Linked DNA regions of Pelodiscus sinensis. The protein of the gene in region 1 interacts with the protein of each later gene in a pairwise test. Links are inferred from orthologs where the notes say so. Each region holds a gene or a part of one and is shown in the gene's direction. Other genes may lie near its edges.

Region 1 (6,962 bases):
CATCCTCGCAGGAAGGGAGGAGCCCGGCTCGGTCTATTCTGCCACAGGGCCCTCCTTTCCCGCAGGCGTGGGGGGCTGTGCCCCACGCTGGCCCTGCCTGGGCCATGGCCGGGGCTCCGGCAGGCCGTGGGGAAAGGCGGAGCCTGGAGCCTGTGCTGGGGGATGTCTCTGGACCCAGCTCCAGGGGCTGTGAAGTCTCCCCATTGTGATGTCAGCAGAACGCCCCTGCGAGACTCAGCCTGCAAAGCATGCTGGGGGCTGAACGCCAGCTGCGCTGCCTAACGGAGCCGGGAGCCTTCGGCACCGTGGAGAGTTGGCTCCCGAAGGCTTCGCGGCGTCAGGCTGGAAGGGGAGACCCCCTGGGGAAGCCGCGGGGGCTGCTGTCCTGAGCCAGCGAAGCGCCGACAGGCGGGCCCGAACCGGGCACCTCCGGAGCTCAGGGCAGGAGGCGCTACAGCTTGGGCTAAAAGCCAGCTGGCGCTCAGCTTAGGCGGTAGGGCAGGGGTGGGCAAGACAGCTTCCAGGGGCCGGACTCACCCGGCCTGCAGCTGCCTTGCCACTCCCCCCCCCCCCGGCCAATCGAGACCTGGGGATGGGGGAGCATGAGAAGTGTCCTGGCTCCGCCCTTTCTGTCTGAGGCCCCGCCCCTTCCAGGGCGGCCGACTGTAACAATTTGCGAAGTGGCTGCTCTTGAAAAATGCTTGCCCATCCCGGCTGCAGAGCCAGCTCATTCTCTCTCTGGAAATGGCCTGCGTGCCACCCCCGGGGACGGTGCCCCACCCCCATCAGGAGCCAGGGCTGCAGGACGGGGTGGGGGGAGGCTGCCTCGCCTTGCCGTCAGGGCCCACCCAAGCCCCAGCACAGATCGAGGGGTGCATGACCCGGGAGGGGAGGCTGCCTTGCTGTCAAGGCCAACTCCAAAGCCCCAGGACAGGAGGGTGCCAGGCTGCAGGCATCAGCGAGGTCGCCCAGAAGGGGGCGCTTTCCCTGGTGAATTTGCACGGATCCTAGTGCCTTCTTCACAGCTACAATCGGGAGCTGCCTCGGAAGCCCTGGCACGGCTCAGGGGACTCTCGATGTTCTTCTGGCCTGCTGTGCGGCGAGGCCCAGGCCTGCTCCCTGGCACCCCGTGTCCTAGGGAGGTGAGCTGCTAACCCTGGCTGCAGTGAGACACCGGTGCGGCCTCGGGGCGCTGGGCCGGCCAGCGTGCTTGGGAACGGCTTTCACAAAGCCCGGCTCGGGGACACTGGCAGGAAATGAACGGGTGAACTCGGGCAGCCGCATCAGCTCCCCTGGCCCTTCCCGGCCTGCCTCAGCCTTCCCCGCCTGGCCCGCCGCTGCCTCTCCCGGCTTTTCCTTGCTGCCCTTTCCCTTCTTGTCTCCTTTCCCCTCTGCTTTTGGGGTTCCCCCCCCCATGCCTCTTCTCCTTTTTCTGTCCAGCTCTAGAGCTGTTCCTGCTTGTCCTTCTCTGCTGCGTGTCTGTGGCTGGCTACCTGCGCTTTGGGCCACCGGTCCCCATGGCCTGCCAGCCTGCTGGAGAGCTACTCCCTGGCTATGTCTAGACTGGCATGATTTTCCGGAAATGCTTTTAACGGAAAAGTTTTCCGTTAAAAGCATTTTTGGAACAGAGCGTCTAGATTGGCACGGACGCTTTTCCGCAAAAGCACTTTTTGCGGAAAAGTGTCCGTGGCCAATCTAGACGCGCTTTTCTGCAAAAAAGCCCCGATCGCCATTTTCGCAATCGGGGCTTTTTTGCAGAAAACAAATCTGAGCTGTCTACACTGGCCCTTTTGCGCAAAAGTTTTGTGCAAAAGGGACTTTTGCCCGAATGGGAGCAGCATAGTATTCCCGCAAGAAGCACTGATTTCTTACCGTAGGAAGTCAGTGATTTTGCGGAAATTCAAGCGGCCAGTGTAGACAGCTGGCAAGTTTTTCCGGAAAAGCGGCTGATTTTCCAGAAAAACTGGCCAGTCTAGAGACAGCCCCTGTGTGAGCCCAGGAATGCTGCAGGGAGCAGCGTTATGTAGCCCCAGTGGGGTGGGGGGGTAGAATATGGGTCAGGAGCCAGCAGTCATACCCTGCTGTCGGGGCCCCCGCCTTTGGAAATCTCTTGGCTAGAGCATACAGCGCTCAGGGAGACTGGCTAGGCTAGGGCAGCTGTCCGAAGCAAAGGATAGAGACACAGCAGCCGCCAGCCCTAAGGCCGGCGAGCGTAGCTCCTGCGCGGCAGGGAAACCCTTCACCCTCCAGGCAGCCGCAGAGGGAAGCCACCAAGGGACAGGGTGGAAATGTCATGGCACTGAGGGGCTGGGATGGGGGAGGAGGTCTGGTGACTTGGGCTAGGATCCAGGAGGTTCCCTTCAAATGCAGCTGCCTGCGAAAGGAATTTGAGGGGGCAACCGAGTGAGTCTGTGGCAGAAAAAGCAGCGAATGGTCTGGTAGCACTTTGACTAAGGAAACATGTCGATAAAACAAAAGGAGAAACTGGGCAGCACTTTAGAGACTAACAAGATGGTTTATTAGGGGATGAGCGTTCGTGGGCCAGCCCCACTTCCTCAGATCAAATTCTGGACGAGAATTGGCAGGACCACGTATACCAAAGGATACAATGGAAAAGTGAACCCGTTGTTAAACTGACAGATCAGATTTAGTCCGGAAGGTGGGGTGAGAGGGCGGGAGGGACCAGCTAGCTGAGTCACTGGCTCATCGGGGGGGGGGGGGGGGAGAGAGTGGGGAGCGATCTTCCTAATGGCTACGGCAATTAGCATCTTCTACCAGCCCATCTGCTGGGCCGATCGCTCAGCTGCCTGTGGGGTGGGACTAGCCCCCGCCCCCGCCAGCCCCCTTCTCCTCTGGGGCTCCTATTGCGCTAGGGCTTGGTCCCAAGTGTCAGGAAGGGGGGAAGGGACCTTCCAGGGAGGCAGGCGGCATTGGCACTGCGGGCACAGCCTGAGCTGGGGGGGAGACCGGCCTGGGCAGCCTGGAGCAGCCCGCTGGACAGCAGGGCCCAAGGGGGAGGGGCCCAGCTGGGCGGAGCTAGGGACCGGCCAGGCCCTCGCGGGGGGAGGGGCCCAGCTGGGCGGAGCTAGGGACCGGCCAGGCCCTCGCGGGGGGGAGGGGCCCAGCTGGGCGGAGCTAGGGACCGGTCAGGCCCTCGCAGGGGGAGGGGCCCAGCTGGGCGGAGCTAGGGACCGGCCACGCCCTCGCGGGGGGGAGGGGCCCAGCTGGGCGGAGCTAGGGACCGGTCAGGCCCTCGCGGGGGGGAGGGGCCCAGCTGGGCGGAGCTAGGGACCGGCCAGGCCCTCGCGGGGGGAGGGGCCCAGCTGGACGGAGTTAGGGACCGGCCAGGCCCTCGCGGGGGGGAGGGGCCCAGCTGGGCGGAGTTAGGGACCGGCCACGCCCTCGCGGGGGGAGGGGCCCAGATGGGCGGAGCTAGGGACCGGCCAGGCCCTCGCGGGGGGAGGGGCCCAGCTGGGCGGAGTTAGGGACCGGCCACGCCCTCGCGGGGGAGGGGCCCAGCTGGGCGGAGCTAGGGACCGGCCAGGCCCTCGCGGGGGGAGGGGCCCAGCTGGGCGGAGCTAGGGACCGGCCAGGCCCTCGCGGGGGGAGGGGCCCAGCTGGGCGGAGCTAGGGACCGGCCAGGCCCTCGCGGGGGGAGGGGCCCAGCTGGGCGGAGCTAAGGACCGGCCACGCCCTCGCGGGGGGAGGGGCCCAGACGGGCGGAGCTAGGGACCGGCCACGCCCTCGCGGGGGGAGGGGCCCAGCTGGGCGGAGCTAGGGACCGGCCACGCCCTCGCGGGGGGAGGGGCCCTGGCCAGGATCCCGGGGCATGCGGGTCCCATTGCCTCTCAGGCCCCGCCCCCTCGCCGCGCGCCCGTGGCCCCGCCCACCTCCGCTCGCTCGCGCCGGCGGCCGCGCCGAGCCGGCCACTTCCGGCGGGAGCGCCGCCCCTAGCGGAAGTGTGGCTGGTTGCTATGGCGAGGCGCCGTGGGGACCCGCCCTTGCGGGACAGAGCCGGAGAGCGGCCCGGCTCCTGCCGACGGCGGGTGAGCGCGGCCGGCTGCGGAGGGGTCACGTGATACGGGGGCTGTGGGGGGACTGGGCCCTGGTGGGGGGGTGCGGAGAGGGTTCTGTGTGGGGGGGACTGAGGGCCCTGGGGGGGCAATGGGGGGGTGGGATTGGGGGTTCTGTGATGGGGAGGTTGTGGGGGGGACTGAGGGCCCTGGTGGGGGCAGTGGGGGATTGGGTGGGATTGGGGGTTCTGTGATGGGGGGCTGTGGGGGGGACTGAGGGCCCTGGTGGGCGCAGTGGGGGATTGGGTGGAATTGGGGGTTCTGTGATGGGGGGCTGTGGGGGGGAGTGAGGGCCCTGGTGGGCGCAGTGGGGGATTGGGTGGGATTGGGGGTTCTGTGATGGGGGGCTGTGGGGGGGAGTGAGGGCCCTGGTGGGCGCAGTGGGGGATTGGGTGGGATTGGGGGTTCTGTGATGGGGGGCTGTGGGGGGGAGTGAGGGCCCTGGTGGGGGCAGTGGGGGGGCGGGATTGGGGGTTCTGTGATGGGGGGCTGTGGGGGGGACTGAGGGCCCTGGTGGGCGCAGTGGGGGATTGGGTGGAATTGGGGGTTCTGTGATGGGGGGCTGTGGGGGGGAGTGAGGGCCCTGGTGGGCGCAGTGGGGGATTGGGTGGGATTGGGGGTTCTGTGATGGGGGGCTGTGGGGGGGACTGAGGGCCCTGGTGGGGGCAGTGGGGGGGCGGGATTGGGGGTTCTGTGATGGGGGGCTGTGGGGGGGACTGAGGGCCCTGGTGGGCGCAGTGGGGGATTGGGTGGAATTGGGGGTTCTGTGATGGGGGGGCTGTGGGGGGGACTGAGGGCTCTGGGGGAGGCAGTGGGGGGGTGGGATTAGAGGTTCTGTGATGGGGGGCTGGGACAACCTATAGACTGGGCAGGTGTCCCGTGTGGCGGGGGCGGGGACACTGTTACCGATGTTTTTAAGTGACGTTGGGAACCCTGGGGGCTCTGTTGTTTCCCTCGTTTCGCTGTCTGCTGACACTTCGGGGGGCAGTGGGGGAGCCCAGTTGGTCTTGAGCCAAGTGAGCGCAGAAGAGAATTCATAGGGGCTGTGAAGGTGGCAGACTATTTCCCTTCCCCGCTTTCCCATATCAGGATTTGAGAGGGGTGTTGCCCAGCTGGTGAAACTTCAGCTGGAGCAGAGACCTGTTGTGCAAATGAGAATGTGGGTAGGGGGTGATGGCTATTCACGTGTTAGTTCACGTTTATGTTCCTGTGGCCCCAGTCTGGATCAGAGCCCCATTGTGCGGGGTGCCGTGTAAACATGTAAATGAGGTCCTTGCCTACAGTCTAATCAAATGTCCTACAGAAAGGGATGGACATGCAACATGTAAGAGAGACACGGAACTTGGTCAGCCATTGATTTTCTCAGCTTTGTTCTTTTGTCCAGGTACTTCACTCCGCTTGCGTTAGCAAGTGTGGTCGCAGTGTCTAATTTCACTCTGCCCTTCCTGTTCTCTTGGAGCTCCAACACTTGTGTGTCATTTCAGTGCCTTTTGCGGTATTTTTCTTGCACCTTCTAACCAGCACCCTTTCCTTTCCTGATCAGAATGAAAGGCCTGCAGCCATGTTTTTCTAGTCCAGTCCAGTTAATTGCTATGATTCAGAGGGGACTCTAATGGCCGGTTCCCTCCCTGCCCCACTGCTGATGCTTCCGTGGAATGGACTGGATTAGAGATGTAACAGTGTAGTCGATTAACTATAAGCAAAAGCGTATCGGTTAACGCTATAAACTACACACGTTTCCCAGCCCCTCTTGCCAGTAAATTTTTTAGCAGGCTGGCCAGCAGGCCAGCTCAGTCCTGCTTCTCGTTGGATCCGGGACCTACCCCCGCTGTGGCTCTGCATTTAAAGTGTATTAGGAGCCAGGTGGGCAGGCAGTCCAGCTTGTGCTGTGTTCAGGAGCTCAGCCCCACCCCTGGACAGGGGCTGCTGTCATCCCGGGCTGCTGCCTCTGTGACAGGCAGCCGGTCTGCGAGGGGAGCTGGTTTTTCAACTGCCTCCCCTCATAGACCAGCTCCTGCCTGACACCCTGCACTGCTGCCTCTATTATATTAAATATTATAGAGGCAGCAGCGCCGAGTGGCAGGAGGCTCCTCAGGTGTGGGGCTGGAGTGCACTGCCTGCTGGCCCCACCCTCGGGGTCCAGTGTTTTTGTGATGGTACTGCCAGGTACTCAGTACCGGCACTTCCAGACGCAGTACCGGCATTTCCAGATGTAGTACCCGCACCTCCAGTCAGAGCTCAACAACTTTTCCCCTGGAGTACTGGCACTTTTTTTTTTTTTTTTAACAAAGCACTGCAAGGGTCTATAGAATAATCGAGTAACTGATAAGAATTCATGAGGTTACTTGACTATTCAATTAACGAGTATTTAACATCCCTAGATTGGATCAGATCACTGGTCAGAATCTTGTCTCTTAAAGTGGCCAACACCAGATGCTAAAGAGGAAGGTTTAAGAAATCCCAGAGCAAGAAGATACGGGTTAATCTGCTCCTTGTGAAGGTCTTATCCAAATCACTAATAGTTGGAGATTAAGAATCATAGAACCATAGAATACTAGGACTGGAAGGGACCTTGAGAGGTCATTGAGTCCAGTCCCCTGCCCTCACGGCAGGACCCAGTACTGTCTAGACCAGTGGTCCCCAACGCGGTGCCTGCGGGCACCATGGCGCCCGCCGGGGCATTTGTAGGCGCCCGCCGACAACCCGGGCTGGCCCCGCCCCCGGTGCACTGGAGGCGCCGGCCCCAGGCACGCGACACTCACCGGCGCCTGGTGCGCGGCGCTCGGGCGGCCCCAGCCCCGGGGCACATGCGGGCGTGCGGCGCCGGTGCCGGCCCCAGGCACGCAGCTCGGGCGGCGGCGCCAGCCCCGGGCCCACGGCACAAGGGGC
Region 2 (8,043 bases), on another chromosome or scaffold:
CCCTGATTGCTGCAGCTAAGGCGCTCTGGCTGGAGGTCCTTCTCTTTCACTGGCCAGCCCAGACTGCCAGCAAAAGAGAAGGACCTTTTGCTTTTTATACTGCCCCAGAACTTGGAGCATGACAATATAATGACAGGCTGCTCTATGCAAACAGGAAACAGTTCTCATTTTTTGAAGCAAAAGCCAATTTTTACAAAGGTAACAATACTTGTAGGCTACGTCTACACTGGCCCCTTTTCCGAAAGGGGCATGCTAATTTTAAACTTTGTAATAGGAAAATCCGCGGGGGATTTAAATATCCCCCGCGGGATTTAAATAAAGATGTCCGCCGCTTTTTTCCGGCTTGTAGAAAAGCCGGAAAAGAGTGTCTAGACTGGCCCGATCCTCCGGAATAAAGCCCTATTCCCCCGCGGATTTCCCTATTACGAAGTTTAAAATTAGCATGCCCCTTTCGGAAAAGGGGCCAGTGTAGACGTAGCCGTAGAGTTGCCATCTTACCAGGATTGTCCGGGAGTCTCCAATAATTAAAGATTACTCTTTACTAAAATATTATGTCACATGATGACACCTCCAGAGATATCTCCAATCAGAAATAGCGACTCTAGCCCCTCGGTGCGTCCATAAGAACAACCATCCAGGATCACACCAATGGTGCATCTCAGATAGAATCCAACAGTGTCCAATGGTAGGTGCCTCAGAGGGAATGAACAAACATGTAAACATCGAGTGATCCATCTTCTACTACTCAATCCCAATTTCTGGCAGACAAAGGCTTGGGGCAGCCAGAACACAAGGTTGCATGTCTGATCATCTTCACTAATAGCCAACAATGGACCTATCCTCCGTGAACTTATTTAATTCTTTTTTGAACCCTGTTATAGTTTTGGCCTTCACAGAATTCTCTGGTAAAAAAAATTACAGGTTGATTGTGCCTTGTGTGAAGAAGTACTTCCTTATGTTTTTTTTAAATGTGCTCCCTATTAATTTAATTGGGTGACCTCTTATTCTTGTGTTACGTGAAGGAGTAAATAACATGTTTTTATTCACTTTGTTCACACCACTCAGGATTTACATACCTCTCTCTTATCTGCCTGTAATCATCCATTTTCAAAACTGAAAAATCCCAGGCTTTTGAAATCTCTTCTTACATGGAAGCTGTTCCAGACCTTTAATCATATTCATTGCCCTTCTCTCCACCTTTTGAATCCTAATATACATTTTTTTGAGATGCACACAATTTTCAGTGTGTGTTCATGGCATGAATTAATACATTATGGTATTTTCTCTTATTATCTATCCCTTTCCTAATGGCTTCTGTCAGGCTGCTATGGTTTTTACTGTCACTGCACACTGAGCAGATGTTTTCAGAGAACTATCCACACTTACCCAAGATCTCTATCCTGAGTGGTAATAACTGCTATATACCCCATCATTACGTATATATTGTTGGGATTATGTCTTCCGATGTACATTACTTTGCATTGACCGACATTGAATTTTATCTGCCACTTTGATGCTGTGAACTTAACTATCTGTGTGCACATAAGAACATAAGAACGGCCATAATGGATCAGATCAAAGGTCCATCTAGCCCCGTATCCTGTCACCTGGCCAATGCCAGATGGGAGGGATCACAATAGGTAATCCTCACGTGATCTCCTCCCTGTCACCCACCTCCAGTGAAACAGAGGCACAGGATACCATTCCTTCCCATCTTGGCTAATAGCCATTAATGAACCCTAACCTCCATGAATCTATCTAGCTCTTTTTTGAACCCTTTTAAAGTTCTAGCCTTTCACCGCATCCTCTGGCAAGGAGTTCCATAGGTTGACTGTGCGCTGAGTAAAGAAAAACTTTCTTTTCTTTGTTTTAATCCTGCTGCCTATTAATTTCATTTGGTAAACCCTAGTTATTACATTGTGGGAATAAGTAAATAACTTTTCTTTATTCACTTTTTCCATATCCGTCATAATTGTATAGACCTCTATCATATCCCCCCTTAATCTCCTCTTTTCTAAGATGAAAAGTCCAAGTCTTTTTAGTCTCTCTTCATGTGAGACTTATTCCAAACCCCTAATAATTTTTGTTGCCCTTTTCTGAACCTTTTCCAATGACAATATATCTTTTTTAAGATGAGGCGACCACATCTGTACGCTGTATTCAAGATGTGGGTATATCATGGTTTTATATAGAGGCAATAAGATATTTTCTGTCTTATTATCTATCCCTTTTTTAACGACTCCTAACATTGTTTGCTTTTTTGACTGCTGCTGCACACTGAGTGGATGTTTTCAGAGAACTATCCACAATGACTCCAAGATTTCTCGCTTGAGTAGTTGTAGCCAAATTAGTCCGCATCATATTGTATATAGAGTTGGGATTATTTTTCCAATGTACATTACTTTATATTTATCAACATTAAATTTCATTTGCCATTTTGTTGCCCAATCACTTAGATTGGTGAGATCATTTTGAAACTCTTCACAGTCTGCTTTGGTCTTAACTATCTTGAGTAGTTTGCTATCATCTGCAAATTTTGCCACCTCACTGTTTATCCCTTTCTCTAGATCATTTGTAAATAAGTTGACTAGGCTAGATCCCATGATAGGCCCTTCGGGGACCCCACTAGTTACCTTTTTCCACTCGAAAAACTTACCATTTATTCCTACCCTTTGTTTCCTGTCTTTTAACCAGTTACAAATCCATGAAAGGACCTTCTTTCTTATCCCATGTCAACTTACTTTACTTAAGAGCCTTTGGTGAGAGACCTTGTCAAAGGCTTTCTGGAAATCTAAGTATACTATATCCATTAGGTCCCCCTTGTCCACATGTTTGTTGATCCCCTCAAAGAACTCTAGCAGATTAGTATGGCATGATTTCCCTTTACAGAAACCATGTTGACTTTCCCCCAACAAATTATGTTCATCTATGTGTCTGACAATTTTATTCTTTACTATAGTTTCAACTAATTTTCCAAGTACTGATGCTAGATTTACCAGTCTGTAATTGCCAGGATTATCTCTAAAGCTCTTTTTAAATATTGGCGTCACGGTAGCTATCTTCCAGTTATTAGGTACGAAAGCTTATTTAAAGGATAGTTTACAAATCACAGTTAATAGTTGTGCAATTTCCCATCTGAGTTCTTTAAGAACTCTTGGGTGAATGCCATCTGGTCCCAGTGACTTATTACTGTTAAGTTTATCAGTTTGTTCCAAAACCTCCTCTAATGACACCTCAATCTGGGACAATTCCTCAAATTTTCACCTAAAAAGAATGGCTCAGGTTTGGGATCTCCCAGCTGTGAAGACTGAAGCAAAGAATTCATTTAGCTTCTCTGCTATGACTTTATAATCTTTGAGTGCTCCTTTAGCATCTTGATTGTCCAAGGGTCCCATTGGTTGTTTATCCAGCTTCCTGCTTCTGATGTACTTAGGGTTGTGCGCTGTGCATGAAGAGGGCACCTAGGCCCATTTCCAGTGGGCACAAGGCAAGGTGCCTGCACCAGATGTGGTCGGCATGTGCTATTTCTGAACATGATTGCGCAGGCTAAGATTGACAACTTTCTAATAACAGAAAAGCAAATGCCCTGCCCCAGCCATACTCACTCCATTCCCTCTCCTTCTGTCATTCTCTCTCCCCCACCCTCACGTCTTTTCACTGGGCTGGGGCAAGGGTTGTGATGTGTGTGGGGGTGATGGCCTCAAGTGGGCTCTGGGTGCATGGGATGTGGGATGAAGGCTCCAGGTAGGAATTTAGGTGTAGTATCTGGGAGGGAATTTGGGTATAGGAGGGGACTCCAGGCTGGGACACAATGTTGAGGAGAAGGAAGCCAGTCTTTGCTTATCAAAGCTTGCAGGAAGCAACAACCAGGTCCCTCCAGCTCCTAGGCATAAGGCAGCCAGGGAAGCACCATATACTGCTTTTGTACCCACAGGCACCTCTCCCAGACCTCCCACTGGCCATGGTTCCTGGCCAATAGCAGCTGTGGAACTGGCACTTGGGAATGGGGCAACTCCTGAAGCTTCCAAGTTCCTGGCTGACCCAGCAACTAGAGGGTGCTGGGATCTGGTGGCGACTTCTGGGAGCAGGCCAGAGCTGAAGCAGCCTGCAATAGCCCTGGACTTCTGGTCAGCACCAGGTCCCCTTTCAGACAGGATGCTCCAGTTGAAAACCATGTGACAATCCCACACTAGGCTCGTCCCTGCTTAGCCCAGCACCTGCACCTGCATCTCTGGGCTGGCTACTTCCTTCCCCAGCTCTGTGATTGCAGCAGGGTCTGATCCTGTGCTGGGACCCACGAAGTGTCTGTTCTTAGGGTGAACGCATTACAGAGACACGGCACAGCGATCAGGGATGGTCTGGACAGCGCTTGGTCCTGCTGTAGGGGTGGCGGGGGGGCTGGACTCAATGCTCCCCAGAGGGCCCTTCCAGTTCTAGAATAGTGCTAGAAATGTAGCCCTGTTAGTCTGGTGCAGCTGAAACAAACACCAGGACTGTGTAGCTCTTTAAAGACTAGCAAGATGGTTTAATAGGGAATGAGCTTTCGTGGGCCAGACCCACTGAGGAAGTGGGTCTGGCCCACGAAAGCTCATTCCCTATTAAACCATCTTGTTAGTCTTTAAAGTGCTACACAGTCCTGGGTTTTTTTCCTTCCAGTTCTAGGATTCCATGGTTCTGTGACATGCAGCTGTCAGGAAGGCGCGGAAGCACCATTCAAAGAGGAGGGGGGGGATAATGACCAGAGGAGGAGGCTTGGGGGTGAAGTAGAGTGGTAAATAGGTGCCTGTCTCTTTAAGACGGGACGATTCCGTGCAGGTTTCCTTTACGGCACTCCGGCGCGTGTCCCGTCGTCTTATTGGCTGACTAGGCGCATTCGCCCTTTCCAGGGCGGGAGCGCGCCTGCGCGCGCAAGAGCGTTTCGCCCTCCAATTGGCGGGTGGCGCCTGTGCGTCCGTGGCGCTCTAGAAAGCGCGGGCAGGCCGCCCGCCGATTGGCTGGGTGAGCGCATGCGCCACTTCCGCCCCTTCCTCCCCCACTCGCGTCACTTGGTGCGTCCCAGGCGCCGCTGCCGGGGCTGGTCCGTGCGCGTCTCTCTGTCCCCTGCCATCATGGCGGCCGCCGCGGAGGAGCCGTTCCCCTTCCACGGGCTCCTGCCGAAGAAAGAGACGGGCGCCGCCGCCTTCCTCGGCCGCTACCCGGAGTACGACGGGCGCGGGGTGCTGCTGGCCGTGCTGGACACCGGCGTGGATCCCGGCGCGCCCGGCATGCAGGTACCGGCCGGCCTGCTCCGCGGGTGCCGACCCGCCGCGCGGGAGCTAGATAGTGCGCGGTGGGGGGCGTCCAGCAGCCGAGGCCTGCGGGGCGGGGGGTTGAGCTGAGCGGGGCCGGAGCAGCCCGGGACTGGCGGGGAGACGGCGCCGGGCGGAGGAGGAAGGGGAGGGGCGGGAGGCGTCGCGGGGACCTGGCCGATTTGGGTGCTGGGGGCTCGTGGAGGCAGGCGGGCGGGGCAGAAGAGGGCCCCGAGAGAGACGGGCGGGTTTGAGCCCCCAGTGATGCTGGTTGTGGTTTTACTGGGGTGCTCCACTGCAGCCCAGGGGAGCTGCTTTCCTTGGGATATTGTCGTGCTCTCCACACCGAGGTGTGGCTTACTGCATAGAGCTAGCCCGTGGGCAGTGGGGCTGGAACCCAGGACCTCTGGATTTGACACTTACACGACTATTCAGTTCCATGCTATCTAACATCTCTAGTGCATGTTCAGAAGAGCTTCATCTGCCAAGAGAAAGTGCCATAAGAGCATTGCTATTCAAATTCTTGTACTGACTATTTCTTGCAATGTAACTTGTTTTGTGGAGGGAATAAGTATGGTGCACATTTTCATCTTTTCTTTCTGAATGCTTTTTTTTTTTTTTTTTTTTTTTTTTTAATCTCACTGGAAAACTTGACTTGGCTTCCAGTTGTTTTGCTATAGGTGGAAACCTGTTTCTAACATAAACCTTGTCTAGCCAAGAGGTCTGCAGTTTGTGGCTCTTCTGTTGTGAGTAGAAACTTGTACCTATAGCGTAGATGGGCAACAATTTTTGATGGGAGGACCACTCTTGGTAAGTGGTCAAGGATTGGGGTCTAAGTGACTAGTCAACTTTCCAATACGCATAGGCTTATTGGATAGTCAAGTAGTAACTCGACTAGTCTGTCAGAGAGGCAGTAAGGGAGGAAGCAGGAGCTGGTGCTGGTGGGGAGATACCTTAAATTTGCTGCCCCCAGCACTGTGTCTGGGGGTAGAGGGGGTAGGGGTGCAGCAGGCACTGAAGCAGTCCTCTCTCTTGTTGGTTCCTACTGCGGTGCTTCAGCCTTTAAAATGTACAAGAGTCCTTTGGGGCTCTTGTACGTTTCAAAAGCAGAAGCGCTGCAGGGAGCATGAGGATAGCATGGACTACTTAAGTCCCTGCTGCCTCCGTGCTCCCTATGGCACCTCCCCTCTTTTGCTGCCTTGAAGAGAGGCAGCAAGGGGGAGGGGAAGCCAGCTTAAAAGCTGTCTGCTTCCCTCCCACCCCCAGCTCCCTCTGAGGGGATATGGGAGGCTGCTGCGAAGCAGCCCCTGTCTGCAGGGATCCCAATGGGGAGCTCCTTCTCCTTCCTCACCCCCCGCCATGTGGACAGGGGCTGCCGCCGCCAAGTCACCCCTGTTTGCAGCAGCCAGGGCTATCTGCTGCAAACAGGGACTGTTGGACTTGATGCGATCCAGGACAGAGTAGTCCCGACTTGTGATAATTGTGGTGCCTCTGCATTTTAAATGTAGTAAGAGCTCAGCGGCTCTTACTACATCTAATATACAAAGGAGAATGTTTGTATGCTTGTGCTCTAATAACTTGGACACTATAAGACCTACTGCAACCAAACTTTCCATGGGATAAAACCTTTTCCTGGAGGAAAGGTTAAGGTACTTTTGGACTCGATCGGACCTGGTCTCAACCTGTAAAAATCAAAAATAACCTGCCGTGCTGTGCTGCAGGGGCAGCCCTACCCACCCTAGGTCACGTGTCCGCTGCCTGCGGCCCCAAAGCACCATCCGGGACTCACCCCACCCCCATGCGCATAACGGCTCAGCCATCAACCATGCCCCCTGTGGCTACAGTTACCAGGTAGTCTTTTTATATATATAAAAAAAGCGGCCCCATTTGATGGGGGTGGGTGGGGGGGGGGGGGCTGGGCCTGGTCCTGGCTGGGAGAAAGGGGGGGGGGGCTGGGAAACAGGGCTGGTTTGAGGGTGGTCATGGGCAGCGTGGCTGATCGGGGGAAGGGTGGCTGATGGGAAGCAGAGCTGGTCTGGGGGGGGCGGGGGAGTTCTGGGGCAGCAGGGCTGGCTGGGGGAGATCGGGAGGGGGTGGCCGGTGGAAGGAAGCAGAGTTGGTGGGGTGCAGCGGGGCAGTCCAGGGGAGATCGGGGCGGCGGGAAACAGATCTGGTCGGGGGCAGCGGGGCTGGCTGGGGGATATTGGGGGGGCAGCCGGTGGGAGCGGGGCTGGCTGTGGGAGATCGGGAAGAGGGGAACCAGCCAGCAGGAAGTAGGGCTGGCTGGGGGATAGGGGAGCGAATAAGCCAGTGGGGAGCGGGACACAGCAATGCTGGGTAACTCCAGCTAGTTTACAATACAGAGCTGTAGCGATGGCGACTCCTGGAGCTGCATGAGACAGGACTGCTGAGTCCAATCTCAAGCCAGCTCCTGGATCTACCTTTGCTGCATGCAGCTCTGTAGAGTGGTTCTATCAACTAATCATATAGTCGATACAATTTGTATCGACTATACGATTAGCCTGATAGCAGCCTTTAACATCCTTAGTCAAAGACCACACTTTTCCATGGTGGAGTTGTGGAGTCTGGGACAGAGATTGAGTACAGAAGGTATCTCGGGGTGGAGGACTTGAGTGCAAGAGAGGCTGTGAAATCTGAGAGGGAGCTTCGGTGAAGGAGAGAGTTGTGATTTCGGTCAGGGAATTGGAGCTCAGGGTATGGGAGCAGTAGAGGATTCTGGCCTTGGAAAGAGGTG

What was found. The genes of interacting proteins can lie anywhere in the genome.
Region 2: the proteins of PPP1R16A (region 1) and TPP2 interact in binary tests that used the Homo sapiens proteins (3 or more experiments, as listed by UniProt). The two-hybrid records come from large-scale screens. The link is inferred for Pelodiscus sinensis from reciprocal best matches to the Homo sapiens genes PPP1R16A and TPP2.

What each region holds. Positions count from the first base shown.
Region 1 is NC_134712.1:1,125,455-1,132,416, forward strand, and holds the start of PPP1R16A (protein phosphatase 1 regulatory subunit 16A), read left to right. Parts: upstream 1-3,929; 5' UTR 3,930-4,046; intron 4,047-6,962. Other genes in the region: uncharacterized protein LOC142826897, read right to left, coding at 1-106. UniProt on the Homo sapiens protein: Inhibits protein phosphatase 1 activity toward phosphorylase, myosin light chain and myosin substrates.
Region 2 is NC_134711.1:245,943,008-245,951,050, reverse strand, and holds the start of TPP2 (tripeptidyl-peptidase 2), read left to right. Parts: upstream 1-4,996; 5' UTR 4,997-5,006; coding exon 5,007-5,270; intron 5,271-8,043. UniProt on the Homo sapiens protein: Cytosolic tripeptidyl-peptidase that releases N-terminal tripeptides from polypeptides and is a component of the proteolytic cascade acting downstream of the 26S proteasome in the ubiquitin-proteasome pathway.